Oreochromis niloticus: one gene and its partners. The protein of the gene in region 1 interacts with the protein of each later gene in a biochemical or structural test. Links are inferred from orthologs where the notes say so. Each region holds a gene or a part of one and is shown on either strand. Other genes may lie near its edges. The genes, in order: aurka, nin and otud7b.

What was found.
Region 2: of the proteins of aurka (region 1) and nin, one has a biochemical effect on the other in vitro, tested with the Homo sapiens proteins (2 studies listed by BioGRID). The link is inferred for Oreochromis niloticus from reciprocal best matches to the Homo sapiens genes AURKA and NIN.
Region 3: of the proteins of aurka (region 1) and otud7b, one has a biochemical effect on the other in vitro, tested with the Homo sapiens proteins (2 studies listed by BioGRID, with this or other methods). The link is inferred for Oreochromis niloticus from reciprocal best matches to the Homo sapiens genes AURKA and OTUD7B.

What each region holds. Positions count from the first base shown.
Region 1 is NC_031970.2:6,631,654-6,641,329, reverse strand, and holds the start of aurka (aurora kinase A), read left to right. Parts: upstream 1-4,238; 5' UTR 4,239-4,585; intron 4,586-5,006; 5' UTR 5,007-5,009; coding exon 5,010-5,072; intron 5,073-6,362; coding exon 6,363-6,702; intron 6,703-6,788; coding exon 6,789-6,831; intron 6,832-6,931; coding exon 6,932-7,123; intron 7,124-9,357; coding exon 9,358-9,496; intron 9,497-9,676. Other genes in the region: prelid3b (PRELI domain containing protein 3B), read left to right, coding at 556-672. UniProt on the Homo sapiens protein: Mitotic serine/threonine kinase that contributes to the regulation of cell cycle progression.
Region 2 is NC_031983.2:21,050,832-21,061,097, reverse strand, and holds the start of nin (ninein), read right to left. Parts: upstream 4,445-10,266; 5' UTR 4,356-4,444; coding exon 4,326-4,355; intron 3,148-4,325; coding exon 2,935-3,147; intron 2,047-2,934; coding exon 1,953-2,046; intron 1,315-1,952; coding exon 1,142-1,314; intron 1-1,141. Other genes in the region: monoacylglycerol lipase ABHD12, read left to right, coding at 9,907-10,009. UniProt on the Homo sapiens protein: Centrosomal protein required in the positioning and anchorage of the microtubule minus-end in epithelial cells. May also act as a centrosome maturation factor.
Region 3 is NC_031976.2:34,770,836-34,781,133, forward strand, and holds the start of otud7b (OTU domain-containing protein 7B), read left to right. Parts: upstream 1-6,608; 5' UTR 6,609-6,848; intron 6,849-10,298. Other genes in the region: rbm8a (RNA-binding protein 8A), read left to right, coding at 653-719, 1,228-1,287, 1,381-1,458, 2,263-2,399, 3,983-4,119, 5,305-5,353. UniProt on the Homo sapiens protein: Negative regulator of the non-canonical NF-kappa-B pathway that acts by mediating deubiquitination of TRAF3, an inhibitor of the NF-kappa-B pathway, thereby acting as a negative regulator of B-cell responses.

The DNA of each region.
Region 1 (9,676 bases):
TATTAAAAGTTCATATTCTTTGAATCACTGAATGACTAAAATGTGATCCCTCCACTTGGATCCACACAGTTTAAAAAACTTTGTCCAAAGTTTGTGGGTTGGATGTCTTTCTCTTTATATAGTACATAATGAGGCCTGGACTTGAATGGTGTTGAAGGAGATAGATGCCAAAAATCGTACGGAATAGATAAAACGGAATAATAAAGATTAGAAGAACAATACTGTGAATGCTTTTCAAGCATTCACACTAATTACATATAGGCAGAAGTGTTTATAGCCATTGCAAATCGCAAGAAAAGAAGGGAGATGATAACTGTTACGTTGGGGCAGTAGCAGCAGATTTGTGGCGTTTCACTTGTACATCCAAAATCCACTTGTGTGGAAAAATCTTTAAAAACTACGAGATGACTAGTCAACAGCTTAACGTTCTCTCCAGACCAGTCGCTGCATGAAGTGGGTTTACGTGTTTCAGGCACGCCGTCTTTTCTGTTCTTGTATTCTACTTGATGCAACTCATTTTCCCGCGGACTAACGTTTCACTTTGTTCTCGAACAGGGCCGTGAAGCCGTGGAGTGGGTTATCAGGCGACTGAATACAGAAATCGAGGAGCTGGCAGCCACAGCACGTGGGACCATACGCACCCCAATGGCTGCTGCGGTCACAGAGAAATGACACCCTACTCTGGTGTTCAGTTGAGTCTCAGATTGGACTGCACAGCAGTACAGCCAGCCTCCTTCTATGATGCTCTGGTCCTGTTTGGTGCTTTGGGGATTTTTGTATTATTTAAGGGTACAATTTAGGCATGTTGTGTACTTTTACCAGTTATGTTCTAAGCCGGAGACTGCTGCCTAAAGGAGGTCTGAGTGTTTTCTAGCGATGCGGCCTGGCGGGACTGCTTTGATAGGGCGCTGAAAAGTTGGTGGCTCACTCAGGGAGATTTAAACACTACTGCCATTTGTATCTTTGAAAAAAGGTGCAATGTGGATGGACTGGAAACACAAGAAATGTGCCAATGCAGACGCTGCTTTTTGTCTTTACAAATGCCTTCTCCAGGTGTGTTTTCATCTGGCAGAAATGTGTCAGAATGCCAGCACATCGTCTCTGGTCTGAGCTTCACGTTTACAGCAGAAGAGTCGGAAAGAAAAACAGTTCATGGTGAGACGTATAGGAGTGACTGTAACAAATGCGTACACTGAGAAATGATGGCTGATATTAGCCATGGAGGTCAAGCGCACCGAATGTCACAAATGCATGCAAGCAGGTCAGATTAAACGGTTTGGGTTATCCACAGTGATCACAGTAAGGTTTATTTGTGTAAGAGAGCCACTTCAACACTGTTTTCCTATGGGACCTCAGTTACAACAACAGACTGTAATAGGTACGAATGAAAGCCTGATACTAAACTGTACTGATGTAATGTAATAACTTATGTTATTGAGGTATTTAAGTTGAAATGAAGGGATCAAAGTACTTGCCATATTTATACTTTTAAAAATGTATAGTAGACCTTCTCAAATGCTGCTTTAATGTAACATAAGCATGAATCTGTTTACTGTGTAGAAACAAGGGTCAGACTTCTTTTTACATACTAAACCTGAGGTTGTTTCAACTGAAGTAGTTTTATCAGCACGTACATAATCCTGTAAGCATGATCACTGAGTGCAGGGGCCGAAAGCTTCACACTTATTACCAGTAAAAGCTGCTACACGTGCTAAGCGAGCATTTTGATAAAACTGTTTCAGTGGATACCCTGTGTTTGAGATAGTCTCATAGTGGGAATCTGTGTGGCGATGGTAAACGCACAACTTTCTGTACATAAGATATTTATTAATATATATATTTTTTTACCTATGCCAGGAATATTTATTTTTGAAAAAAGAACAATTTGGCAGAGTAAACTATGAGTTTGGTTGATTTTTAAAGGCAAAATCACATGTTCACCTTGTAATTTGTTTTCTGAATGGGTTATTGTGTAAAAGATTCTCACCAAATGCAGAATGTGTCAATAAAATATTTGAACCCGTTTTATTTAAGAGCTTTTGTCAGATATTCTTTCTTGTTTTTCAGCTTTAATAAATGTGAAGACGCTCTTGATTGTGTCAAAATAACCTGACCTGATTGTCTTTGATGGTTTCAGTCAAGAGACAGTCACTTATTTTATACATCTGAACTGTCAGCTGGAAGCAATGGTTGTATATTTGAAACACAGAGGGAGTTACCTGACATAAACCAGAAACGCTGCACATTTGACAGGATGCTTGAAGTTCTGACTTCATCATGCAGGCGCCACATGCTGCCACATAGTGGACAAATGTCACAGTTACAATTTCTGTGAAAAAATTAAGGAAATGAAATGTTGCTAATTAAAAAGAATTATTTAAAATGTTTGTGGAAGAGGAAATGATTCATATTTTATATATTTTGGGTGACATATTTATACAGGATTTTTGACATTATAAAAATGCAGAACCCCAAGTCAGACTCATTTATTTTGAACCAGTGTATGAGCAGCTCTGTTACATATCTGGTATGAAAAAGTACACAATAATAAAAAAGCAAATACAGTTCAAAGAAGCATGGGCCTTATGGTAAAGGCCGGCTCAATTTTTTTGATCGATAGATTTTTACATATTATTTTCCAGTATACATTGTTTTCTTGTTGTTGTTCTCCCTTTATAATTTATTACTTTTTATTCTAATTAAGCATATAAATACATAAATAGCATATAAACAGCTCTTCAGTTAAATTTGGAATAAACATAGATAGTTTATTCTCAGTTTTGTCCTTACAAAAGGTGATGCACACCCAAAATGGCATCACCACTGCAGGTGCATGGTGCACTTTGGCGTCACTTTGGCTTGTCTTGCAGACCTGATTACTGCAATAAATCCTATTTAACTTGGGCTGACCTAACTTCACACCCACCACATCTGCATGCCCCTGCTCTTTTATTTACAGATACTTCCAGGGACATGGTGAGATTTCTTTCAATACATTTTCTGGCCAGTTAGCTCCTATTGGTTAGATAGTTAATAGTCACTGAAGTGCAACAGTGATACTGAAGAATGTAAGCTGCCCTTGCACAACCAGTTGCATGAAGAAAATAAAATTCTCATAATCTCTTTGAAAACAGAGAAAATGTCCTTATCGTCTGTGTTTGAGTCATTAGCACAATTCAATAAAACACCACAAATGGGAAAGAAGTTCTTTTTTTAATCCACAAAAATCACAACAGTATCCTATGATTATTCTGAATCTCTTGGAAGCCTGTTTTGTTGGATATATCTGACCCTACTGTACTGATAAAACTGGATTTATCACCACGTAATTAGATTAATTACCCACCAAGAGATGCCCAAAGATATCTTGCAAAAGGAAATCACTTTTCCTTAATTAATATTTACTTCTCCCTGGATGTAGTTTCTCGTATATTAATAATACACATCTTAGCAAAGGTTTGAAGACCATGTAATTAAAAAAATTCCACGTAGTTTTCTAATAAATCATTTGCTGCTTGGTTATATAAGCCTTTAGTTTGTGTAATAATTATCCGTGAGGGTGTCAGAAGTTGTTTTTCTTACATTTTCCAGCCAAAGTTTTAAAACTAGCAAAAACAAAAAGAAACATAAAATAAATAAAAGACTTTATATATAGTTTAGAGTAATTTAGACAACACAAACAAATAAAAGGAGGGCTCTAAACTCGCTTTATAATTTGCTGTTGATTATGAAAATTGCATTTTTTATTTACTTAAGCATTGCATTTATTCCTTATGTGTTGCTGATTTAACTATTTTCTTTTTAAAGAAAATCGTTCAATAACAATAATAATAATAATAATATAAAGACAAATAAATGCGTTTTGTAATTTCTGATCTACTGGGAATCAAAAATAATAAATTTAAAGAGATTTAAAAAGCGATATCATTGATAGTAATAAAAAGAAAGACAATACTATGAAACTATAAATAACTCTTGTTTTTCTGAGTTTATATTTGGGAAGAAACTTTTTTTTCAAGCAGCTGAAGTAATAATAAAGTCATTAAGTGTAATAGCATGTGGTGTGGAAGATTTCCTGTACTGACAGTGTCTGTGGACTGCCCCCTAGTGTTTTGGAAGATTCACTTCGACTTTAGTACGTCACGCTCCACCGGCCGCCGCGTGTAGCCTCAGCCAATGGAGAGTGAGTACTGAGCATTCCCTCAGCCAATAGCAGCCTGTGTTGTATTTAAAGGTTTTAAACCGAGGGCCGTTTGAAATTAAACAAGCAGTCTTCGGAGAGTTAGCCAATCTCAGTCAGTCTCTGTACTGCTACAGCTTTGTGCTTCGACTTTATTGTTTTATTAGCACTCATGTAGTATTTTTTAGACAAAAGAAGTGATACTAAGGTAGACTGGTCGATAAAGACTCGTCGTAACATCTCCGTGGATAGTCCTTATGTTTGTAGCGAGCCACAAACGCCAGCTGTGGTCTACTGGCCGACGTAGCTGTTAGCTAGCCTCCCTTGGAGCTGTTTTCGACCCGTTTATGTTCTAGAAAAATTATCGATTAGCGTTGAATCGGGTCATTGCAATAATATATTTAGGTAAGTGGTTTTATACAACTAGCTTGTTGAAAAAGTTGATGTTTTGGTGTGGATGCAAATTTAACTTTACCTGATCGGCAACAACGTGACGTTGATGGCTACTGTTAATCTTCCTGACAGAATAAACATTGTAAATTGTATATACGTGTTTAAACAGTTATCTCAGACACGAATACAAGAGCGTCTATATCCAAATAGGATTGTTGTTATTGGGTTTTGTTTTTTGTTTTAGTTAGAAGAAATGTCTGTGAAGGTTCTCGGTCATCCAGGTCATCGTAGTCTAAGGAGGTTGGAAGAGACTCTTAGCTAGAAGAAACGTGGCAGACTAAAGAGTTAAACAAACTGCATGTTTTTCTTCATTCCTATCATTTTTTTAACCCTTTCTTTGATTAAAACCTGTCTCCGTTTACTTCTTTATTAGATTATGGACTCTACTGCTATGCACAAGATGCCAAAAGGCACGAAACTTCAAAGGCCTGAAATTAAGGTAACTCATCATAAACCCGGAGCTGGTTGAAAATTTAATTAAATGTGTGTTTTTGTTTTTTAAATATCCTTGATTACTGTGTATGGCATTAGATTTGCGCTTCCAGGCATACCAGTGTCTTTTCTATATGGCTTATTAAGAAGATCTAGTGTATATAGAGACTCGGCATATGCATCACCAAAAATGGAGCTAAGAGAGAATTGACCCACAAAGTTGGATGGGTGAAAAGGACCATGGCCAAAACTAAGCACTTGTATGTGATCATAGGAGTACGATCCACTGATCCCAACTATGGATAGGATTTTAATTGAGGATGGGATTAAAACAGAATTGGTGTTTGTTAATTTAGATAACCTTGTCTTTTGAGGTAAAAGGTAAATGCTGTTGTTAAAACTTGTTTTTTTTTTTTTCAGATTAGGTAACTCACAAAGGTAAACAGATTTCAAGGTTTCAGATTTTTAGAGTTAATCATGCCTTGTTTTCATCCTGACTCCCAGCTGCAGCAGCCTTTTTTTCAGGTGACAGTCTGTCACTATTTCCCTGACTGCAACTGGTCCAAAACGCTGCAGCTTGACTTTTAACTGACATACGCAAGACAGACCACATGTCATTTTTAAGGCGTTGCATGCGTTTGCACCTTCTTGCCTCCATTTAACTTTGGGTACTTCCATCAGATCACTGAGATCTGCTTAGCAGGTTCTCCTAGATTAAAACAGAGCTGATCAGGTTTTTGCTCCTAAATTGTTGAACAAACTGCATCTGCACATCTGGACCCCTCCAGCATTAGACATTTTCAAAACCTGTTTTCATCCTTGGCTTTTAACTCTAATTGGATTACTTTTTCTCAATCCTGCTTTACTCATGTTCTCATTTTTTTTCTTTTTAAAATCTATTTTCTTTTTATTATTTATGTATTTTATCCATCCAGTTATACAGGATGGTAGCCAGCAGTTATTTTTTTAAATGAGCTTATAAATAAACTAAACTGACCATATTGACTACACCACAAAGGGCATTGTTAATCCTGATAATATGAGCAGAATTGGTGACCTTAAATTGGACGTTGGTGAGAGCATATGGTTGTCTCTGTCTCTGTTAGCCATGCGACACACCAGCGACCTGTCCAGGGTGTGCTCAGTGAGAGACTGGGTCGGATAGATGGTTAAGAAAATTAAGAAATCAATTTCAAATTACAATTATTTCAAGGTATATCTAATTTATGATACTTTCAAAAAATAAAAAGCTTGAAGCTTTTTTTTTATTATTGTTGTTTATCTTGTTTGTTTGCAGTCAACCAGTGATGGGCCCAAGCGGATTCCTGTATTGCAGCAGTCACAGCCCATTCAGAAGGCTGTAGTCACACCAACACCGCATCAGCGGGTTCTAGGTGTATCAAATGGACCTCAGCGCATTCAGAGGCCTGTGAGTCATCAGAAACCAGTGTCAAACCTGCCCGTTACTGTCAAGTCCACACACCCTGCTGATCAGAATGTGAACCCCGCTACTCAGAATGTAAATGCAGCAACACAGCTCAAACCCAGCACCCAGCAAAACCAGCCGAAAACGCAAGCTCCTAAACCAAACCTGACCAAACCCCAGTCGGAACCACAAAAGCCAGAGAAGCCACAGGGTAAGTGTAATACTAAACTGGGAAAACAATGGTGTTTGTGTCTGTGTTTTGGGTGCTAAAATGTATCCTCCTCTTTCTTTGTCCAGACAAACCTGCCAAGAACGATCATGCACAAACTTCTACATCAAAGTATGTTTAAGAGTGGTTCTTTGTCTCATCCATATACTTTTATGACAGGTTACAGTTTATGTCGCTCTTGCTGTAACCGTGTGCTGTTCTGCTCACACAGGACACGGTGGAGTCTGGAAAATTTTGACATTGGTCGTCCTTTGGGAAAGGGGAAGTTCGGGAATGTTTACCTGGCCAGGGAGCGACAGACTAAGTTCATCCTGGCCCTGAAGGTGCTCTTCAAAAAGCAACTGGAGAAGGCTGGGGTGGAGCACCAGCTGAGGAGAGAAGTGGAGATCCAGTCTCACCTCAGGTAACATCTGTCGAATTATATTTTACTGTTAATTGTAATTAACTGCTCCCCAGACTCACGTTTCTCAAACTGTGGTGAGTAGACCCACTGCAGGCAAACTACAGATAAGGGAAAAGAGGTGGGGTCAAACTGAAGTGACTGATTATTGTAGGGAAAATGAGTGAAAATGACTTTGATAGTCAGCACAACAGCATTATTCTACTGAAATTATTTTGGGTCCTTGTCTGATTTTTCAAAACGGTCTTGAGTAGGAGTGGGTTTAAAAAATCTATTTTCTGATTCAAAATTATTTTAATATGAATATTGTGATATTGATTCATTAAATCACACTTCCTGCACAGCTCTCTCTGTATACTTCAAGACCAGTTTACCATCAAAAATCTAAATTTTCGGCATTTTCTCCAGTTGTGTACAGCGTTGTTAGCCGCTGTTGTTTTGTTTGTTTTTTTCCCCAAAATTACCTCTGACAATATATTTCTGCTGTTCCTTACCGCAGAAATTTCAGCTTTTACAAATTCTGCCAAATTGCAAAGTTTTTATGTTGATTCAGGGTTTTCATGTTTTTAATGTACTGCGGATATTTTAATATTTGCAGTAGATCACATGTGAAAATGTCCGCTTGTGCTCTGTGCATGCTTTTACGCATGAATTAAGCAAAAGGGACTGCAATCGCCAGGAAGTCGTGTTTTTTCCTTTTTTTTTTTTTTCCCACTAAATGGAGACTTGCAGTTAACATCTAGTTCCAGCAATGGCTTTCTGCTATAAAAAGCCAGGCCAGGAAATTCTCCTTCATATTTTTCTGTTTTATATCATCGGCTACTTTGACACAAAGGCATCTGCTGTGAGGCTTGCACTTCTGATGAAGTCTCACAGGTGTCAGCTTTGTTTTTGTACCTAGATAATTTATACTGAGTTTGTAATTGCAGAGATATTGTCAAGTAATTTGAAATGAAATATTTTTAATTTACATTTTTTAGAGGGTTCTTTTGACAGTACGTATCAAAGATAAATGATCATAATTATATTTCTGACGGAGTCTAAATTGAATTGAATAGAGTGGAGTTGGAACCTTGTGAATCAGAATAGAATCAGTTGTAGAAGTTGGTGACGATACCCAGTCCTGATCTTGAGTCTCATATAAATGGTTTAAAACACAGTCATAGATTCCAGGTCAGAAAAATTAAGCAGATGTAGAAGTACCTAAAAACCCTGCACTCCTGAAGGCCAGCAGACTGTGATGGATGTGGTTGCAAAAAGTCCTTTAGAAGTCTATGGAAAAACAGCTTTCTGACTCCAACTCTTTAAATGCTGCTCCTGAGTTTGTGCACGGGCTCAGGCACTCGTTTTGGGTCATAAAGAATAAAGTCTGTTTGTTTTTTAAGTCTAGGCCACATGTTCCAAAATGGAAGATTATCTGTGGCTTGTGCTCATTGGTTATAGTGGAAGGTGGATATAACTGCATTGAATTAGTTTTATCTATGTGTACCTAATAAACTGAAGCAGTGGAAAATGATTGAAAGCAAATCCCCCCCCCCCCGTAATTGTAATGACTGTAAAATGTGTCTGTGGGGTTCTTGCTTAAAAATTCAGAACTTTCAATGTTGGGAAAATAAAGTATTGAATGGGTCCGTCGCTTTAATGTGGCTCATCACATTGCAAACAAACAGACACTTATGAAAGTGTGTAAATGTGGTTTGTGTTCTGTTTGGCTGTGTTGGTATGCTCCTGCAGCACGGCTGGGAAGACCTGTGTTAGTATGACGATAACTTATCTTTTTGATTATTATATATTTTTTATTTATTTTAATCTGTGGAAATCGGACTCCTCTTCATGTCACTGTCAGACAAATGTTCAGATGCTGTGGGGGTTTCTTCATGTTTATCTAAATGTTAACACTGTAGATCAGTCAGGTTTAAAACCTTTTCCCTCAGAGTGATTGGATTTTGCTTCAGATATTGAGAACATCACAGGCACGCTATGGTTTCTGGATCTGACCAAATCTGATCATCAGACGGCGAGTGTGAGACGCTCTGTGGACTTCCATATGCCTAACTTTTTTAATATGACCACATGGATTCATTTGCAGAAAAATGGCACTAAAATATGCCAACTACACATTCCCTTCAGTAAAATTACCCCCTACCATAGTAATGAATAGCAGTTTAGTTTGGGGAGTCTATACATATTGGAAATGATGATTGTCAAAATATCTAATGGTCCTGATTTTCCTACAGGCATCCGAACATCCTGCGACTCTATGGCTACTTTCACGATGCCTCTCGTGTGTACCTCATTCTGGAGTTTGCACCCAGGGGAGAGCTGTACAGCGAGCTCCAGCGCTGTGGACATTTTCCCGAGGACAGAAGCGCCACGGTAAGCGTGCAGTTAAGACCTTTTCGTCACTCTTGTTGTTCTATAATCCAAAGGAGCTTCCCCAGTTTTACAGAGTGAAAATAACCTTTTATTCGTAGTCCTGTTTCTGGTATGTTGAATGTTCACTAAAAGCATCTCTTCTGTGATGCATGTTGTATGCTTAATATTTGTGTGCCCAAT
Region 2 (10,266 bases), on another chromosome or scaffold:
GCTCATTGTTTCCCTGACACAGGCCTACAACCTCCTCCCCAAGCAGCGGGCCTGCAGTCTCTGAGGCAGAGCCCCCTGACCCAGCCCCATCTGCTGGTCCCCACGCTGGACACTTTCAGCATTGTTACAGCTAGATTATTCAATGCCAAGACGCGCTTCAGTTCAGCATCTCCAATAGTGTTTGCTTTTGCGCTGCTAGGCATCTCTGGGTGGAGTCAGAGACAATACACAGAATACTAACATCTCCATCCAAGCTTAAACTTAACACCATTGCACTGTTTTGGTGAACACTTGGAGGCGTTTCTCTTACTGCAGCCCAGCTTTGCAAAGTTCTGCACAAGTAACTGAATACTAAAGGCATTATTTTCACAAACATTTGTCAGAAGGTCCAATAAACACTCAGAAATGTGAATTTTCTGGCAATTATTTCATAGTTCAGGTTTTACAGGGTTAAAAAACCTGCTAATTGACTATGTATCATCATTTGGAGCAGATTTTAAGTAAGCTATTAATAACTGGGACTATCTGAGAATCTCTGCTGTATGCTATTTATGAGAAAGGACTGTGTGTGGAAACATGTCAGAAGTGAGTCTGATTAACCAAGTAACAGATCTAGAAGATCAGAGGAACCACACACCCACACCGTTCAACTGTTCACGGCCATAAATGACCTGATACTATAAACTCTGTGACAAGTCTCATATCCCTTTCCTTTCAGTATGTGCCAAAAACACAGGATGTACATTTTTAAAACCTATTCTTAAACCTCTGCATAGCCGCCAGCACATAAGGCCAAGTCTAAATCCACACTGACCAGCGTTCAGCACAGAAATCGCCTGATGAAGTCTGACGTTACACAAACACTGTGGTTAGGTGTTAATTACTCGAGGCTTATCAAACACTAATTATCCTCACAATGTTATTTACAGACAGTACTAATTTGTTATGCAACTAATAGGACCTTGTGAATCTTGTGTTGGAACGCTTATATTACACTTCAGGATCTGCCCTGCATGCCACTAAGCTGATTAGCTAAGAATAACGCCTGAATGCTGGCCCGTGGCTGCTGGGAAACACGCAAGGACAGGAAGCGATAAGGATGGCACTCGAGATGAAAACCCGATCAGTCTCAGCCTTTTACCTCACGTTTCCTGGGAACAGCTGAGTCATAGTTGTCCTCCAAATCCTCCTCGTCGGCTGGTTTTACGTGTGTGGTTTCAGTCAAGTCTGAAATAGGCTCTATTAACTCTGGTGTGGAACGGCGGCCATAACGTTTACCGCCTTTCACAAACTTTGGTTTGATCTCAGGAGACTCTGAGGAAAAATAACAAGGAAGTGTCAAATCATGCACAGAGTAAATAATTTGCATAGAAGTTTATCACAACAAAAACAGGAAAAAAAAATGTGACGACTAGTATTTAGCAAAGCCTCCAGTATGTACTTCTCCAAATAACTTCTCTAAATCTTGTAACTTTAGGATCTTTTCAAAGCCGCATCTGTTTCAGCAAAACAGCCATGAACTAAATGTCAACCTTTAGAGAAATTAACAGGAACCACATAGGTTCAATATACATCATGCGTCACTGACAGGCATAAATATTGACAATGTAGTATTTGCTTTGATGAGATCCATTCTTTGTGTTGATATATAACAAGGATCTTACACAATGTAATGATGACAGATCTGTAAAGAAACTGAACTTACATCCAACCTCATCTGTCATCATCTACACAATAAGTAGCATGGTAATAACATAACAAGTCATTTCAAAGACTTGCTTTGGGTCCTCTGGCTGTGCATAGGGGCTTTTCCACTTATACACACAGACAACTAGGTGAATGATAAACTAATTTCAACTCAAGTTAAGGGCACAACGTCATGCTCTGTGCCTTCAAGGCGATGCTGCAGGCAAGTTTCTTCAAAACATTGTGCACAACCATCAAGACTTTACCTGGTTTTGGCAGGACTTCCTGTTCTTCCTGAGGTGGCTCGATGGATGATGACAAAACCAGAATAAGAGCATCCTTGAACTGTTCAAAGTCAACCTGCAAAAGAATTAAAGAAATACATCTTACAGAAAGTTCATGAAATTCCTTACAATGGGTGCTATTCTCTGTGGGTGAGGTGCAGTCTGGGTGTCCGTGTGGAGGAGGGTTTGAGCAGGAGCAGCAAGGTCACATTTTAAGAATCAGCAGCTGCCAACCCTGAATATGGTGATTTTCTTTGTGCTGCGGAGGCTGACGGCTCCCAGGTTTAGATGGTGTTGGAGGGGAGGGGGATACTTCGGGCTTTTTGACTTTATTGTTGGATGCCGTGAGTAAGCAATCATTTCAGTGGCCCCTCTGCTAACATTTACCCCGCCCACTAACACCCACACATGCCAGACAATAGCCACCCGTCTGTCTACATGCTTACATACAAACAAACATTCATGCCAGCGTGTGGAGTTAAGCTGTTTGGATACATCTCATCTTTATTTATGGGTTGAACTATCAGAACCACTGTCCTTAATTTTTTTTAATACATTTCCAAATGGCCCCTCTCTCAAATAAAAGTGTGTGCGATCAGCACATAGTTTGTTGTCTTGACACCTGGGTCGGAGCTGACCCAGGTGTCAAATCCAAAATTGGGAAAACTTTGAATACCTCATAATCTACAGCATGTAGTATCATCAAAAAACTCAAGACTCAGAGAATCTGAAAAATAATCTCTGTGCACATGGGACAGCCCAAAAATCATTACACAGCATGAAACTAGGATTGTAGCATGTATTCAACACTAGTAATGAATATTGCTGCATAAATAACAGCTTTTTAACAAGGGGGTGTGTCTCTCATTTCCAAGCAGGTAATGTATAATTTCAGACTTCACATTAGCAGTATGACGATTGTTTATGATGAAATGGCTGCTTAGCGGCAGTGGAATAAACTCACCCTGGCAGTGAGGCGGTCCTGGTTCTGGAGCAGAGTCTGGAGAAGAGCTGGTGCGGTATCATTAAGGTGCAGCGACTGACAGAGGTCGGAGAGCTCCTCTGTGCACAGAGAGCCACAGCCGCTAGTGTCAAAGCTGTTAAAAACTTCTTTCAGCCGCTCCTCGTACTGGTCCTGCTCTTGCCCGTCATCCATCCCACAGGACAGCACCCTGCCCTAAAGAAAGAGTGAAAGAGATGTCATACTTTCCATTACAACTATTGGGCCTCTCGAGGATGATATGCCAGAGAATAACAGACAAGATAAAGGCAAGACATTAAAGTACCTTGACAGGATTAACATATTCAGTCACAGTGCTAACAGATACTCACAAACAGGATGGCTTCATCAATCTCAGCAGTATCTGTTCTTACCAACAACTTCATCTGAGAGCACTGCCCTGCAACTGAGCTTTCAACGCACTGCTCCAGCCTCATTTGCAGTGGAGGCTTTAGGTAATCCAATTACAATGATTAGACAAACGGGTAAACTGATAGACACGAAGATATCCAGCAACAACCATGACTTTCTTTTAATTCATTTAATAAATAAAAATCAATCTTAATTCATTGCACTTTGATCACCAAATAATTTAATTTTTAATATCTACAAGTATTTAGATTATATGCTATTGAAACAGCTAATCAAGAAAACAATGAATACACAGTGGCACCAAGCCAAGTGGACAGAGCAGCCAGGGACTAATTGAGAAAGTTAGACCAGAGCAGTGTGCCAGCATTTCCAGACTGGCAGATTCAGTTACACATGGACCAAGTTTTTGTTGTGTCAATTGGGTTGCATCATTTCTCTAATTGAAAAACAACAGAAGCAAATGGACAGAGAGCGGCGCCTCAAAATACAAGTCTGGAGTTCAAGTCAGCTGTAAGCCACGTTTCCCTGAAGCAATGATAGCAATGCAGACAATCAACCTTGGCGAATTATCTACAAGGCTAATATTTTAATGTGGGATTGAAGTAAGAGGAGAAGCTGACATTGGTCCAAAGCAAAAAGACAGAGTCTTACTAACATAAGCAATGACATAACTTCCAGACACAACAGCTGAGATCAGCCGCATGAAGCTTACCAAAGGTGAAGCTTAAATTGGGCTGAGCAGAGTTAGAATACATGTTTCTATTTTTATTTACATAAACTCCAAATAGATTTGTGGGTTTGTTGCATTATTTAGTTTGTACTGTCCACTTTTTTTTCTTGAATTTCAAAAATACCATAGTTTTCCACCCTCCTTAGGTGTCTTTGTGTTCTAATATTTTATACATTTTGATCACCTTACTTCAGTTTGTCCTAACATAATGTATATAGATGTGCATAAGACAAATTCAACATAAAGAACATACCAGTATGTCTAATGAGTTGAAACTCCCCATTCAGGGCTCATCTATACAATAGATATGCTGCCTGACCCTTTGCTCTTCCAGCTGCTCTCACTGAAATCATCAAGTGCTTGGCCAGGTGTCCCCCCACAATCAAGACTCGGGGTGCCCATTCACTGCGCACAATAGGCTGTCCACAAAGGCCAAGTCACTATTCTACATCTGCACATTTGAGCAGCTTATGGCATGCAGAAAAATAATGGTTCAGCAGTATGGCAGCTTACGGAAAACTAATGTTTGGTAAACTTGCAGAGCAACAGGGCGACAAACAGAAAGCAAAAACAAGCATTGGGGAAACTGCTTAGGACCGCTGTATTTTACATGCATGTCTCCTGAACAGATTCTTACTAAACAAAAATCTCTTTGCACATCTTGCTGGCATTGTTGAACTTATTCAGGTTTCTGCAAACAAATTTCTGAGCCAATTATCCAAGCAGCCCTTCACCTCAAGCTTGGCCACAGAGGCTCAAGGTGGCTGTGGGTCGACAGCTGCTGTAGCTTAAGAATAAAACCAGTTCATATTAGGAGGGAAAAAAATAAATCCTAGAACCATCCCAGCATTCACTGGTCATAGTGTCACTAAAAGATTTTAGCCAGTAAAGATAAAACTTAAAAACTTGAGGATTGAACTAGAGATGAAGGAACTACATTTTAATCTGTTTTCTCTGAGGACTTGACATTCTCTCTCTATACAAACCTTCTGTCCAAAGAAACTACATAAAGATAATTCCCATGTTCCCATTTTCTGTAGACCTATGTGAGAAAGTTTAGAAAAAGAATAACTTTGAAAACCTGCAAACAACCCATCTCAGTCACATTTAAACAACTTTGGGTGAAATGTGAGGGCAATTGTTGGTGATGCAAACTGCAAAACTGCATTTTATTTCCATTAGCGCGCTTACTTAACGCCATTTAAATCAAAATGGAATAAAGTTAGCAGTCAGCTGCTTCCCGTGTGTGTTTTACTTCACTAACTTTTCCCTGACTTCATCTAAGTAAAGATTTAAAGTCACTTGTGAGACTAACTGTAATGTAGTTTAGTTAGCTTCACCAGTCATAAGGAAAGTGATGGGCTATGCTAACCGCGCTAGTTCATTTGGGAACGTGAGGGAACACATTTTTTTAGGATGAAAGAAGCTAAGTACCCAGAGCTGGAGAAGAGAAAGAAAGAAATGTCTGAGAAAAAATAAACTCACCAAAGTGTCGAAACTTTGCGGACAGCTGGCTCCTTCCTCGAGTGAAATTTGCTGATTAAACACACCTCTAAAAAAAACTTTAAACTACAACATTTCTCCCGCTACAGTGCAGGTAATCCTTCCGCTCCGGCAAGTTTGACGAGCAGCTAATTTGTCGATAGCAGCATTTTGTTCCCTAACATTACAGAAAAAGTAGCTGTCAGGGTTTTGCTGCTGGCTGCTTTGTGTCCGCGGCTGTATCATCCTCCTCCGGCTTGTAGCGGGTTTTGAAAAGCGGTTGTAAGAGGAAGGGGCGGTGACCGACCAAGAAGCTGCAACGCAGTCCTGCAGCCCCCAGTGGACCAAACTAAAACAGCTCCGAAATCACTACAGTCTTTTAAACTGATAGCTGTGTCTTGTTTTGAATAATGTGTGTTGCAATGCTATCTTTTAGGCAATATTCAAGCACAGAGGGGGGGATTTTCCTCAGCAGCCAAAGTTCAAAACTGGATGCAACCATCTTTGGATCAAACAACCGCTATTAGATTAAAGTTGCACAAGACATTATGCTGGCTTTGTTGAATGTGCACACTCAACACAATCAACAATACGAATCTAAATATTCTCTACCCTTTACTTAAAATACTTCAGAGTGTTTGGCCTATATTTGTTTATATTTAGCCTCCAGGAAGTGAGACTTTGCTCTCTGAAGGGATTTCAGTGTTTCTTCCTTCATTGGCCGCTTTTTCACTTATTTTTGTCCAGTCCTTGTACCTGACCATTTTCATTTTCAGATGAGTGTTTTGTTTGTTTGTTTATTATGCCTCTTAACACTTACCCATGAATCATTCAAACACACAAAGGGCATCTAGCTCAAGAAATGAACCAGTTGTGCTTTACTACTAGCAGCAAGCACAATTCCTTTGGTTTAATCTATGAAAAATGCTAATGATGACACTGATTGATATGAATAAAATATTTTTTGCGCCAGTATGGTGAATTACAAACTTGAAAACTTGCCATATCTCATCGTGCTGTACTGTGTGACTTTAAAGATTTTGTGGAAACTGGACAAGTGGAGGACAAAAAAACTGGCGGACCTTAAAAAAAAAACTATCTGCAACAAATCAAAATATTTTATTCCTGTGTGTAAGAAACAGGAATCAATCCAGCAAAGACCTAAAACAGGACCTGAGAGATGCAGCCACCCTTCAGTTGATCCATCTACTGTACTGTACAATGATCCCAAACACACTATCAGTGGAGTAAAAACGTACCTATAAATAAAAATATACAATGGAAGACTATCAGGATTGGCCTCCATGGAGCCTGCACCTCAACATTACTGAAGCAGTGTGGGATCATCTTGGCAGAGATTGGAACAAAACCCAGACAGCTTCCAAAGAAAAACAAATTAATGTCCTTCAAGAAGCCTGGAGAACCATTCCCGAAGACCCTTTAAAGAACTTAGAAAGCCTATGTTGCAGAATAAAGGTGCTCATACTAAATATTGACTTTCAAGCTTGTTGTACAAACTCAGTTTTTGCTTTATACACTTTGTTTTCGTGGATGTTTGCAAATAAGTCACTACTACTTAGCAAAATATAAAGAAATGAGGGGCCTCTCAATACATTTGGACAGTACTGCATAAGCCATAGGCTACAAGCTACAATCATAAGAAGAATGGCTCCCAAGTAGGTTTTCATCTTACCAAAGAGCAGTTTCAAAAACAAGAACACGAATCATTCCTCAATATAAGTGTGTCAGTGAAATGCCGTAGTCCACAACCACAGGATAAATGTGAAGTTTCACTACAACTGCTCTGTACTGATTTCTACTGTTTATAGCATCAGTTCATGCATGACCAAGAGTGAAACTAAGTTTATTGGAAAAACAAGAAAACAGTAGTTTTCTGATACTTTGTTGGCTTTTAATTTATTTGCTAGCAATTTAAAAAAAGTGTGGGATTAGCTCAACCAGCAATGACCAGACAAACGCTTCCCCTCCTACAAAAATCCCGGGGATCGAATAATTGCATTAACTGTCTTATCTTCCTGCTTTCTTAGATACAGATTGATGAAGGGATGAATAATTACCTATCACAATGCTCTTACATTCAGTTTTGAGGGTTTTTCTAGTTCTTAACATATAAAGCCAATCAATGTCCAGTATTTAACTCACATAAACCCTGAAAGCATCAGCATCAGTTGCTAAACTCCTGAAAACAAAATTATTTTCATATTTATATCTACTTTTACCCTGAGCTTTCTTTCAGTCCAGGTGGAGGAGTGGATTTATTGCATTATCTAATACAATATTGGCTTCATCTTGGTTTAAAATTATTTTAAATATCGAGCTAGCTACAACTGTGGAATAAAGATGCATATACTTAAATGGTGTAGTTAACTAAACAAATGTGAAATTGTTTTAAATTTATAGTGGTTTTAATATGTTTAATATATTTACACCAAAAGGAAACATAATCCCTTTAACACCTGTAGCATGAATTTTTTTTACATTCTTAATTCATTAAATTATTTTTGAGCAATAAAAATTTGAATGAAAGAAAATAATCTTAGTGTTGACATTGAAAAGAAACATTATAATTTAAACATCTGCCACTTGCATTTTTAAATTTGCCTTTAATTTTTCTTCTGTTTTAAGAATTTTTATGATATATAGCTAGTTGTGTTAATATGTTTTACACTGAAAGGAAACGTAATAACTTATGCGTCTAACGCAGGGGTCTGCAACCTTTTACACCCAAAGAGCCATTTGGACCCCGTTTCCACGCAAAAGAAAACACTGGGAGCCGCAAATACTTTTTGACATCTAAAATGAAGATAACACTGTATATATGCTTTGTGTGAACAACTAAGGTGTGCTGCTTATGAAATCCATGAAGTGCTACAGAGAAAATTAAATTATATTTATGTAATCAACACATTTTGAACTCTTAAAGAAATATAACAAAAGGAAAGACACCAACCTGAACGAAAATGATCCATGTAGCAAACAAAAACTGTTGTCAGCCGCCTCCCTTATATCGCCTTTGCGCTGTTGGAGCCTTGACCTGACTCTTAAAAAATAATTGGAAAAAAGCACTATGCTGCTGAAAAATGAAAAATAGATATTTGCAAAATTCTGCCTAAATATGTATTTTACCTGGTTAATGCGTGCGGCGGGGCGTAGTTTGCAGCGCCGCTGCAGGGGAGGCGGACGCACCTGAGCAACACCCGCAATCACGCCTCGCCGCCTTAACGTCTGCGCTATCTGTGCTGTTCTGTTGTTGTTGGTGTATGTCGGGCTGTGCTGTGAGCTGAAAAGCTACAGCCGGCTGTATGCGTACAGCAACCGTGTGTGAAAAGTGCTCAATAAAGAGATGCTCAAAAGCATGCTCATGGAAACATCGTCGGGTCTGCCGTGATTTGTTTATAATGGGACTTCTGCTCCTGAACCTCTGCGCACAGAGTCCGCAAATCGGGGCTATACGAAGTCAGTTCACGCAGGACTGTAAGCTGTCATCTGTCAGGCGTGAACGATGTTTGTCTTTAACATAGTTCACGGTGGAGAACAGCTGCTGACATAATGTGGATCCGAAGATCCATAACTGGCCTACCTGGGGTTGAAAGTCTCGATAAATTCACGGCGTTTCGGCGGGTATACCGGCTTCCGCGAGTGTGACTCTAATTTTGAGCCGTGAAAAAATAATAGAATATAATTTTATTTTTATATTTCAATATCACAATAATCTTCCAGTTTAGAACTACGAGTTAAAAAGAACTAACATAAATAAAATACACTTCAGCTAAATACTTCTAATTTATTTGCCCAAACCACGCGGAGCCGCAGTATAACGACTAAAGAGCCGCATGCGGCTCCGGAGCCGCATGTTGCCGACCCCTGGTCTAACGTGTAGATTTCGAAGAACTTTAATACCCACAATTCCTTGCGGCCACTTATCAGCCGGGTTTGTTCCTGTTTTGTTGATTACATCGGCGGTAAGGGAGTTTGTGTCCCTAAATATTCCTTATGCATGTTTTTTGCTTTTCTTTTTTTTAAGTTAAAGGAAGATGTCCACAGGCATTGAGTTTTTGCCTTCTTTGGAGAGCACTGCACTTTGATCGACTTTATTTCTACACGACTGACTTGCTGCATGAAATATTAACCAATAGCAGAGCGGCAGAGGAGACGATTAGTCTGAGAAGAACGTTGACCTCTTTTCACTTTATTTCACAACACTCTTGTTGTCAGGACAAGATCCCTGCCGGATTCAGTTCACTGGAAAGAGGAAAATTCGCATACCCTGATCTGGACAGCGGGGCAGATTGTGTTGCTGTGGAGTGGAAATAATTTCACCCGTGGCAGAAATGAAGAGAGCTATTTCATTTCTGATAACTGTCTATGTCTCGGTGCCTGTCATTTTATACCTGTTCCCTTGGATACTGGGCCAAGTCATATTTGCTCACGTGTGTAAGTAATGTGTCGCGAGGCCTGGGTGTTTATTCAGAGTCAAGTTATTACATGTCGGATAGAGCAGATCTATCATTTAAATGTTTCCTAAATCGCCATACGCAGTGTTGTGTAATGTTTATGACAAATGTTCTCATGGGAAATACTAATGCTGAAACCACCACTGTTAACAAGTTAATCAACCTGTTGATCAAGATTATGTTACTGAACATCATTGCCATTATCCTGTTAAGTTCATTATATTAATATTTAGATAT
Region 3 (10,298 bases), on another chromosome or scaffold:
TACACAAATGACAAGAAAGGTGCCCAAGAGAGTTCAACTGAATAAAGGTGGTTACACCAAACACTGCCTTTCAAGCTTGTTAGAATTGTATAAACTTGTTTTTGTGTGTGTACTGTATTTCCATGTATGTTTGCGTCATTGGTTTGCACATGTTTCAATAAACCATTGCACCAGTTTTTTTATTTTCCAAACAAAATATAGAGAAATGACAAGTTGCACAGTGCTGTAAGTGCAGGTATCTTAAAGCTACACCATTAAAAACCTAACTGTGCCTGTTTGTGTAAATTGATTTGAGCCATTTTACTTTCTGTGATAAAAATAATAGTGCCTCTGTCAGTGCGCTCCAGGGCGGCTGTGGCTACAATGTAGCTTGCCGTCACCAATGTGTGAATGTGTGTGTGAATGGGTGGATGACTGAATGTAGTGTAAAGCGCCTTGGGGTCCTTAGGGACTAAGTAAAGCGCTATACAAATACAGGCCATTTACCATTTACCTTTAAAAAAATATATATATATATTATTTTCATTTGTATTTGTGTATTTTATTTAATATATTGACTTTTATTTTATACAAACTGGCAACTTCCGCCTACCTCTCAGCGCTTTTTGCGTACGTACGTTACGTTGGTCAGACGCATACACACAGAGACATCATGGCGGACGTGCTGGACCTTCATGAAGCGGGAGGCGAGGACTTTCCTATGGATGAGGATGGTGATGGTAATCATATTATGTTCACTGTTAGTGGAAAATACTTTACTGTCCCCGCGTTCAAATGATGTGTAATTATTGAGGTCCGAATCGCAGCCGCCATGTTCGTAAACGGAACAAAAGCTAGACTGCGTGGTGGCAGGCCCGATCAATGCTAACATGCTAATGCGAGTTAGCGCCGTATAGTTGATTTATTCAGTCGCTCCGTACAAGTTAGCGAGGCTACGGACATAGAGGTCTTTAAAGTTCACCTGTTTCTTTTTGAAGGGGAAATTTACTTGGCCGGTAACTTAACTCTCATTGTGAGGGTTGTTAGCAGCTGCTAACACGCTAATTCGCGGTTAGTGCAGCTAACGGGTAATTGTTTTTGCGGCTCAAACTGGGGGGAGCGGGCATGTTAAACATGTTCCTAGTCAGCTGAATTAAATTGGCGAATTTTGTTCGTTGATAACTTGTAGTCAAGAGAGCATTGCAGCGACGTGCGCTGGCTTTGACTTGTTCATCTTTCATTCATTAGAGAGCATCCACAAGCTGAAAGAGAAAGCCAAGAAGAGGAAAGGAAGAGGCTTCGGTTCAGGTGAGTGACCCCTGGTGTGATGGCGATATTTTACATAGCCTCTCTTACTTTAGCTATGCAGTACAGTAAGTGTTTCTTTGTCGATATTTCCAGAGGAGGGAGCCCGGTCCAGAACCAAAGAGGACTATGATACTGTGGAACAAGATGGGGATGAGCCAGGCCCTCAGAGATGTGAGTAAAGAAACGGTTTAACAAAGGATTATGTCACGAACTTGAAACGGCAGGCTGTGGCTTTGCTGTGATATAGCAGAAAGTACCAGTGGTTTTCTGGGTAATCTTACATCATTTGCTGTTGATGTGATAATCACTACTGGGTAGAACATGTTAGAACTTATTTAAATACATGTTCTTAATTGTCATTGTCTTAATACTTAAGCACAAAAATAATTTGTGTGTTTGTCCTCATTACAATTGTGTGGTGCAATTTCTCATAATTGTCAATTTATAAACCTTTCACTACAGCACCACAGGCTGTGTTACAGAGTAATGCAAAAGTAAAATGATGAAATAACTTGTGATTAGTAAAGTAATGCATTACTTTTCTAAAAGTAACCGGTAAGACAATGCTGCTGCTTTTTTGAGTTACAACTCCAATGCTTGTAATGATAAGTTTGGTCAATAGTATAAAGTCCAAGCTACATGTGTGAATAGAAATCTCAGAGTTAATCAACAGCAAAAGAAGGATTACGCTGGTACCATTAAAATCCATTCAGATTTACAAAAAAGCAGACTTGCTTCCAAAAAAGTGTCACTTCTGTTATTTATTGACTTAATATCAAAGCAAAGCTTTTTATTTTACATTAAATGCTTTATTGCAACGTAGCACCTTTGGCATCACACTGTCAACAACTAGTTTTTATTTATGACTCAAATACAGCGCTTTTTTTTTGTTTGTTTGTTTTTTGTCTTTTTTAAGCTGATACACTTGAAAGTGGTACTTGATTCATTACATGCTGATTCCTTTCCTTGCTGCAGCTGTGGAGGGCTGGATCCTCTTTGTGACGGGTGTACATGAGGAGGCCACAGAGGAGGACATCCATGACAAGTTTTCAGAGTTTGGAGAAATCAAAAACCTCCATCTCAACCTTGATCGCAGAACAGGTTACCTTAAGGTAAAAAAATACAACAACAAAAACCACATACTATTATTGTGTGGGTTTTTTGTGTGCGTGCGTGAGCTGATAACCCTGGCTTAGTACAGGTTCGCTGTCTGGTGATACCTGATTCTAGCCCGCTACTTGGAGTTGAACCTCAGTGTGGTTTGCAGCTATACTTTGAGGAATGGGAGGCGTGGGGTTGTTCCGTAGATCTTTCAGACAGGCTGATTGTACACCCCAAACAACGCTTCTGTTAAACTGTTAAATTGGCTCTTTTTGTTTTGTTTGACTGGCTTTTACATCCAATTGTGTTTGAGTGGGGGAAAAAATGGCTTGTTGAAAACATTGCTTCATTCTGGGGTAAAGGTGGTTTGAGCCCAGACAGATCACTGTTGCCTTCCAGCTGCATACACAACACCTGGCTGCATAACATGTTTGTTTGACCCTTAATGATGACACCACGATGCCATCCATGAAGAATAAACTCAGAAGCCAGAGCCAAGACCATCCACCGAGTCACACTTTAACTGATTTCATACAAAGAGAAGTGCCAGTGTCAAGTTAGTTACCAAAAAAGTAACCAACATTTCTCTGACTTGTTCTAATTATCGCTAAACTAAACCCTAAATCCAAATATTTTTAATACTGCAAATGTCCTTAATTTCTGTAAAGGATTATGTTTTGGTTTAACAATCCCATACTGTTCCTCTGTTCATGTGAAAAATGGAATTATTGGTAACCTGCTTGCTGGTTTTCTGATCAGATTGTTCTCATTTTTAACATGTGATGTGGATCAAACTGGAAATTTTACACACGACGTCAAATTTTTACCAAAAGCACATTTCATTGTCCTTTTAGTGTTTTGTTGTTGTGCGCTGTCTGTTTTTTATGATCCCATAAGTCAGTTTAACAGTGGCTTGTGACACTATTTTATAGTTAGGTCAACTTAACCAAATTCAAATCAGGAATATACAGATATTACACATTTGTTTGTTTTTATTCCACACAAATGGTAAAGTAGAGCAAGTTTGTTTCTGCAGCCAAACTGAAACAACTGCATGAATGCAAAGGAACAGCTATTTGTAGAGTCCTCATCCCACCATTGTCATTGTATTTCAGCTGTGTATAACACTTATTCCATGCGGGAAAAACACTTGTGCAGAGGATGCATCTGATCATCTTTGATTATAGCTCCTTCAGCATGCCTCTTCTCTCTTTTCCAGTTGCATTTCAGGGATGCAGACATCCTTCAGTAAGGCGTGCTGAAATAAAATTTAGTGGGGGCACAGTCAAGTCTAACGATGGGGAACTAGGTGAGGGCAAGGAGGTGCAAATTAAAACTGTTCCTTTTAAATATAGAAACACATCCTCTTTTCTACCACAAGGTGGCAGCATTGTTTTTATGTAAAGTAGGACCAAAGGAAATTCTACCTCTGTCAGCTAAGAATGGGGAACGTAAAAAGTTTTCCTTACAGGCAGTTTGAAGCAAAAACAGATTGTTGTACAACAAAGTCAGAATGTGTTTTTCCCAATAACTGAAGTATTTGGTTTACTGTGTACATAAATATGCAATAATTCACACAGTCTTCTGTCCCCAGGGTTATGCACTGGTTGAGTATGAGACGTACAAAGAGGCTCAAGCAGCCATGGAAGGGCTCAACGGTCAGGACATGATGGGCCAGCCTATCAGTGTAGACTGGTGTTTTGTCAGAGGGCCTCCCAAGAACAAGAGAAGGTGAGGGTTGTGTCTTCATCCATCTTGGAGCAGAAACAAGCTCGATGATATTCGAAAAATGTACAGAAACATACTCTGTACATTCATTTCAGTAGGATTTTGTCATCATAAGTGATCTTTTTTTTTTCCCCCTCTTACCACGCAGCCACCCACTACTGATGACATGACTACTTAAGTTTTGTAGATAAGATACAATTTACTTTAAATGTCTGTGTGGCAGATGACAAAACATTAAACACAGCTCAGAAATAAGTAGCCTAAAGTCCAATTGTTAAAAACAAACATGGAAAACAATATCCAAAACACAGTGGTTCAATAAAGTTAAAAAAACAAAAAATGAAGGGACTCAATAATTTAAAAAAGAACCCCCCCCCCCCCCAATGAATACAGAATAAAGATCTACCACAAAGAAAGAAAGCGTGAGATAAAAGCTAATCAAAAAGGTACTGGCTGAAGCAAATGCTCATTATGCCAACCCTTTTAACAAAAGATCATTTAGGAAGCAGCTCATTTACATAGGCAAAAGAGTAAAACACAACGAACAAAAAACAAAAAAAACTTTCCATCTTAGATAAGTAAGTAAATTAAATTTCATAATAATAATTATTGTAATAATTTGATAATCCACACAAAACAACCAGGAGTTTCAGTATTATTATTAATATTGCTCTTCTTCATTCTTGATTTATATATTTTCTAATACTCTAGTTTTAAACATGTTTTTAAACAAGAAAAATAAACTACACCTTTTTAAGTCACTGTTACAGCTATTCCACAAGTTACTATAAATATACTTTATTTATGCTGTAGTTAATGTTAAAGCAGGTAAAACATAAAACACAGCTTAATAGCTTAATAAATAAATTACAACAATAAAATTAGACAAAAACGGGTCAATTGAATACAATAAGTAGAAATCTGAACCTTGAATAAATTGTAATCTAAAAATACAATAAAGGTATGGAGTTAAAAATTTAAATAAAATAAACTCTATATAAAGTCTATAAAGATTTGACTACAATAAATATTATATTCACCTTGTTGTTATTGATCCTTTTTTTTTTTCATTTTACCACCCATATTGTCAGTGTAGGTATTTAAGTGAAACTCGATGATTTTTGAATTGATTTCTTTATTTATTTTTTTAAGATTTTCCTTTTTGATTTAATGTGTGTTTTGTTTTAGGGCTGGTGGACGGAGGCGCAGCAGAAGTCCAGACAGGAGGCGGCGTTGAATGGAGGAAGTCATCACTTTGATAACCAGTTAATAGGCTTCTAATGCCTTCCTACGAAGCAACTTTTGGAGTTTTTGTACAATATTTTCAGTAAACGTTGTGTAGCTGGGTAATTGGATCTAACAGAGAATTTGTGCTTTTACTTTCAGACAGACATGTACATGTTTATGGTTTTCATGAATCCCTCACAGTTCTTTCTGTTTGCTCATTGTAACTTGGATTTTATTTTATATAACCTAAGGAAAATTAAAATTTTTAAAATGTAAACCTATGATTTGTTTGTCTTTTTGTCTTTAAAATAACAGTTTACAGAGAAATCAGCATAACAGCTCATTTTGCATGAAATTATAGCATATATAGACATCATATACATATGAAGAATGTAGAAAAGAACATTTAGGATTTGCACATATAATACTTTCTGAATGAGAATGGGAAATGATAATGCATAGGTTATCTTTACTTTCAAAATAAGTTAAATTTACCTTTAATGTTAATTAGGTGTGTAACTTAGTGAAAAAGTTACCTCTTATTTCTTTATATTTATTCAAGGGTTTGGGGGGGGACATTGGCTCCTTTTCTTTCATTCAGTTGCAGTTCAGTCCTTGTACCTGACCATTTTCAGAGGAAGCCACTAAACACTCCCCCATGAATCATTAAAGCGCAAGGAAGAGCTTTAAATGTCTTTTAAGAAACCTGGTGGGCTATTCCCTAAAACATCTTAACGAAACACTAAGTTTGTCTTTCATGAGTATTTATTTTTTAAAACCACAAAAAACGTTTTGCATGCGAAAATTGACATTAATGGTCATGAAAAGTACTGAGACCTATAAAAAAAAAAAAACTTAAGCTGTGAGTAATATTAACCATGCTAAATGTACACGTTTTGTCACAACTTATTAGTGTTTGTACAATTCCAGAAAGGATGGATTACGCTCAGACGTGTACCCTGCTGCGTTTTATTTAGCATCGCTAATGACGTAGGGTTTACATCATCCTGGATGACCTCATCCCGGCCACGGTGACGCCCCAGCTATTTTGTTAACTCCAAAGCACCTGTCACTCTGGCCTGAGTGCCGCACTGACATTGGCTGCTGACACGAAAAACCACCGGCCTCTCATTTTCTTGCAGCCAATTGGCAGGCGGATGTTTGGCGTTCTCATTTGGTGTTTACTCTAATGGGGAACGTCAGTCAAAATGTTCTAGCCCGACCATTGGTTTTCATAAACGTCAATAAAAGAAAACTCCCGCCTCTGATTGGCCGAGTCCTCTCGGGGGCCGTCTGAAACCTTTGGTTGACGTTGTTGTTGTAAGTGGTGGAGAAATTACTTTGTCGCTGGTGGTCCGGTTTGGGATTTTACGCACCGTTCTCCATATGAGGACACTAAAAAGTTAGAAGTCGTTGGTACTGGAAACGTATTTGCTACTTACAAGTTGGCACTTGCTGGAAAACTGAATGGGACGATGAAAACAACATCTGCGAGGCCGCTAAAGGTAAGCAGTAGAGGGATACTCCAGCTCCTAGCGTTAACGTAAGCTACCGTTAGCTTGCTGCTGATTAGCCAGGCTTGAAGTAGCCACTTGCTAGCCAAATGTAACGGTTCGTTCTAATAACTGAAAAAAATGTACAGGACTTCTTTATGGTGAGCATTCATGCACATGTCTGGCAGACTTTAAATGGACGATTATAATTACTAATGGGTGCAAATAAAGTTAGTGGGATATGTGTGAACGGTGCATGAACCTCATGCGTTTGAACGTCTCAAATGCGTTTATGTAAGCATGTTTATTGTTCCCTGATATTTTTTCTTCAAAGAATAGTTCTAGCCATTAAAAGCTGGCTCCGAGTCAGCAGTGGGGACAAGCCATCATCGTGTGTAGCGTTAGGATTCAGCGGAGAGCAGAACTGGTTTCTGAATACTGCCTTAGCTTTATAAGCTGTCAGCTAAGCAGTGTGAACACTGATATCAATTTCAGCTGATCTCTTTAGTAGTTGTGCATCTGCCTGTGGAAGTAAGTTAAATCATCATCTCGTTTTTTCTGGGAGCTTCTAGTCACGATCCAGCTTATCGGAGTCCGCCTTTTATTTAAGGTGCATGTGTGATGTAACATTGACTTAAAAGACCAGCTCACAGAAATTACCAGAGCCAGCTCTTCACACAACTCAATTTCTAACCAAAACAAGTGGTTTTATTGAGTCTGAATAAGCATCTAACTCGGTGTGAGACTCCTGCCTGAGCTGACGGGTCACAGGGTTCACTGCTTTTTACTCATTCTGAAACTAGAACTAGGTTTATTTGCCATATTTTTCTCTACATCACCACAGCGAGAAAGTATTAGGTTGCACTCTGCCTTGAATTATTTAGGTCTTGTAGTTGTGGACTCCTTTGTTTGCCGGGACACCAGGACAGACAGCCTACATGAAAAGTAGGACAGAGGTAGAAGTTCTTCAGTGTATTTGGCCTACAGCAGGGGTGTCAAAACTCATTTTAGTGAACAGGGCATATGTACAGCTCACTTTGATCCTAAGTTTGTTTGACGTATAAAACCACTGGATAATATCCTTTATATACACAAAATGTCTTTGTGTGAAGAAGTATAGGTACCTAGGAAAAACATTTGCATTTAATGAGCTATTTAAATAACAAATGATAAGTAGTCAATGATCTCTTAGGCAAAAGGAGTGCAATTAAAACCAGTATTTCCACATTTCATCACTCTATTGGTGTTACATGTATATTAAAATAGTATAATATAGTGGCTATTTAAAGGCACATGACCTTCACACATGTATTTTGGATCTCGACAACAACAGTATTTTACTTCTGTCTGTAAAAGCGGAGAGAATTGCAAGTGTCTTCTCTGAAATTTGCACGCTTTGCAGAGCCATCCAGAAGGCCAGGCTGGGTGTGCTTTGACTGCTGATTTTGATTAAAAACAAAACACACACATAATAAACACACAGCAGTGAAGAGGAAGCTCGTTGAGAAGTTAGGTATGGTGTAGTAGGAAAAAAACACATTCAGCCCTCCACCCATACTCACTGTTTCCAGTGGCTGTGAAGGATGATGCTTGAAGTGTAGGACACACAAGCAACTGCTGATCAGTACCAGTGTGGAAAATTGAATGAAACTACCAGCGCACTTTGACTGTAATATTTGTCTTTTCTGCTAGTGACTTTTGCAGCTCGATAACTCTGAGCTATGATCAGTACGTTCCAGCATAGTCTCGTGGCAGTTTGTGACATGATCACAACTTTCAGTGTGTTAAGATATTAAAATTGATCAAATTATTTTCATGTCCCTGAATTTTCAAGTTTCCATATGTACTGATTTGTGTCTATATACACAAAGTAAATATTTTTCACCTCTAAAGGGTGCAAGAAGTCTACATTTAGAGACGGGAGGGGTTGGTGGTGCTGTGAATCATTAGGATGGTTACAATTCAACAGCATTATTTTGATTATTCAAACTGCTTAATTAAAAAAACAAAATCAGAATTAAACTACAGTGGTTGTCACTTCTTTTTAGCTTAGTTTTCTTGGTTGTCAGCATGACTATGCTGGACAACTTACGAGCTGTAGACATGAATCCTCCTTCCTGTTTAAATGCGTCACTCTCAAAGCTTTGCTAACCATCACTATGAAAGTAGCCCAATTTTTGGCCATGAATGTGGAAAAATAGATTTTCTTCTCAACACTGTTCTTCTTTTGATAAAGAAGAACAGTGTTTAACAGTTAAACACGCGTTTATGTGACCAGTTGCAAAAGCAGCACTGTATTAAAGTTGGTGAGGATTTTAATCAGCAGGCCAGAAATGACCCAGTTATTATATTAAGGATCGTATGTAGGGATGAGAGTTGCATGAACTGTAATTTAAACTGAACTGAATAAACAGAGTATATAAATGTGAAGTGAAACAAACCTGCCACAGTCTGGCAGAGATTTTTTTTTTTTCAATTTTGTTTTTTTGTTACGCAGTTTAAAACGTAAAGAAAGAGAAAGTGTTGAAAATATAGATTATAAACTTAAAGGTGAGCATTTTAATTGTTGCCTTCTTAGTGTTTTAAAACTGGGCGTGATGTACGAGGATGGATCTGAATAAATTATGCCAAGAAGTTGTTAGATAATGTCCTAAATGATCCTTCTTTTTTTTCTAACAATGTCTGTAATTTGAAGAAAACAACTTTGTTTTATTCAGGATGACATGAATCACAGGGATTCATATATTGCTGCATTGGTCAACTAATATGAATGCAATGAAGGGAACATTTAATCAACATTTTAAACATTTTTATTTTCATAGGCTCAGTCAGTGAAGTTTTTGACCGCACCTCATATTTGCACCCATTATCTCACTGTTGGTAATTAAAGTGATAAAGCTGCCCATCAGTTCATGGTGGCAACTATTTTCATACCACGATGCTCAGTTTTTCTGAGGGTGTGTGTCAGGTTTCATTATACAAGTCCTCAACACTTGAAGGAACATATTATATTGATGCATACAGCAGCAGAGAGAGCACCTCAGGCGAGTATTTTAAGAGGGGTGTAGCATCCTTCTGACTGCAAGTCAGTTTCCAAACTGGCAGGGTGTAAAAGTAAAAAAAAAAAAAAAAAAAAAATGAAGACTGAAAACAAAAAGTGCTCTGCTGCTTTGTGAATATGTGGATTATAGGCGCACGTATACAGTCTATTAAATTGCCTTCTCAGTGCACTAAACAGGCAGTAGCTCAGCCTGCATCCAGTGGAACGGAACAAAACAAACATTACTGAGTTATTGCTCTTTGATTTTCCTCGAACCATTTGAATTTGGTTGATCCAAATTTAAATATGTGGCTTGTAATCTACAGTGTATCATATGCATCAGATCTCTTAACAGGATTCAAATGTTATGTGGTTGGAAGTTCATAGTAGCCTCGGGTTACAGTGACACTGATGGTGATGGT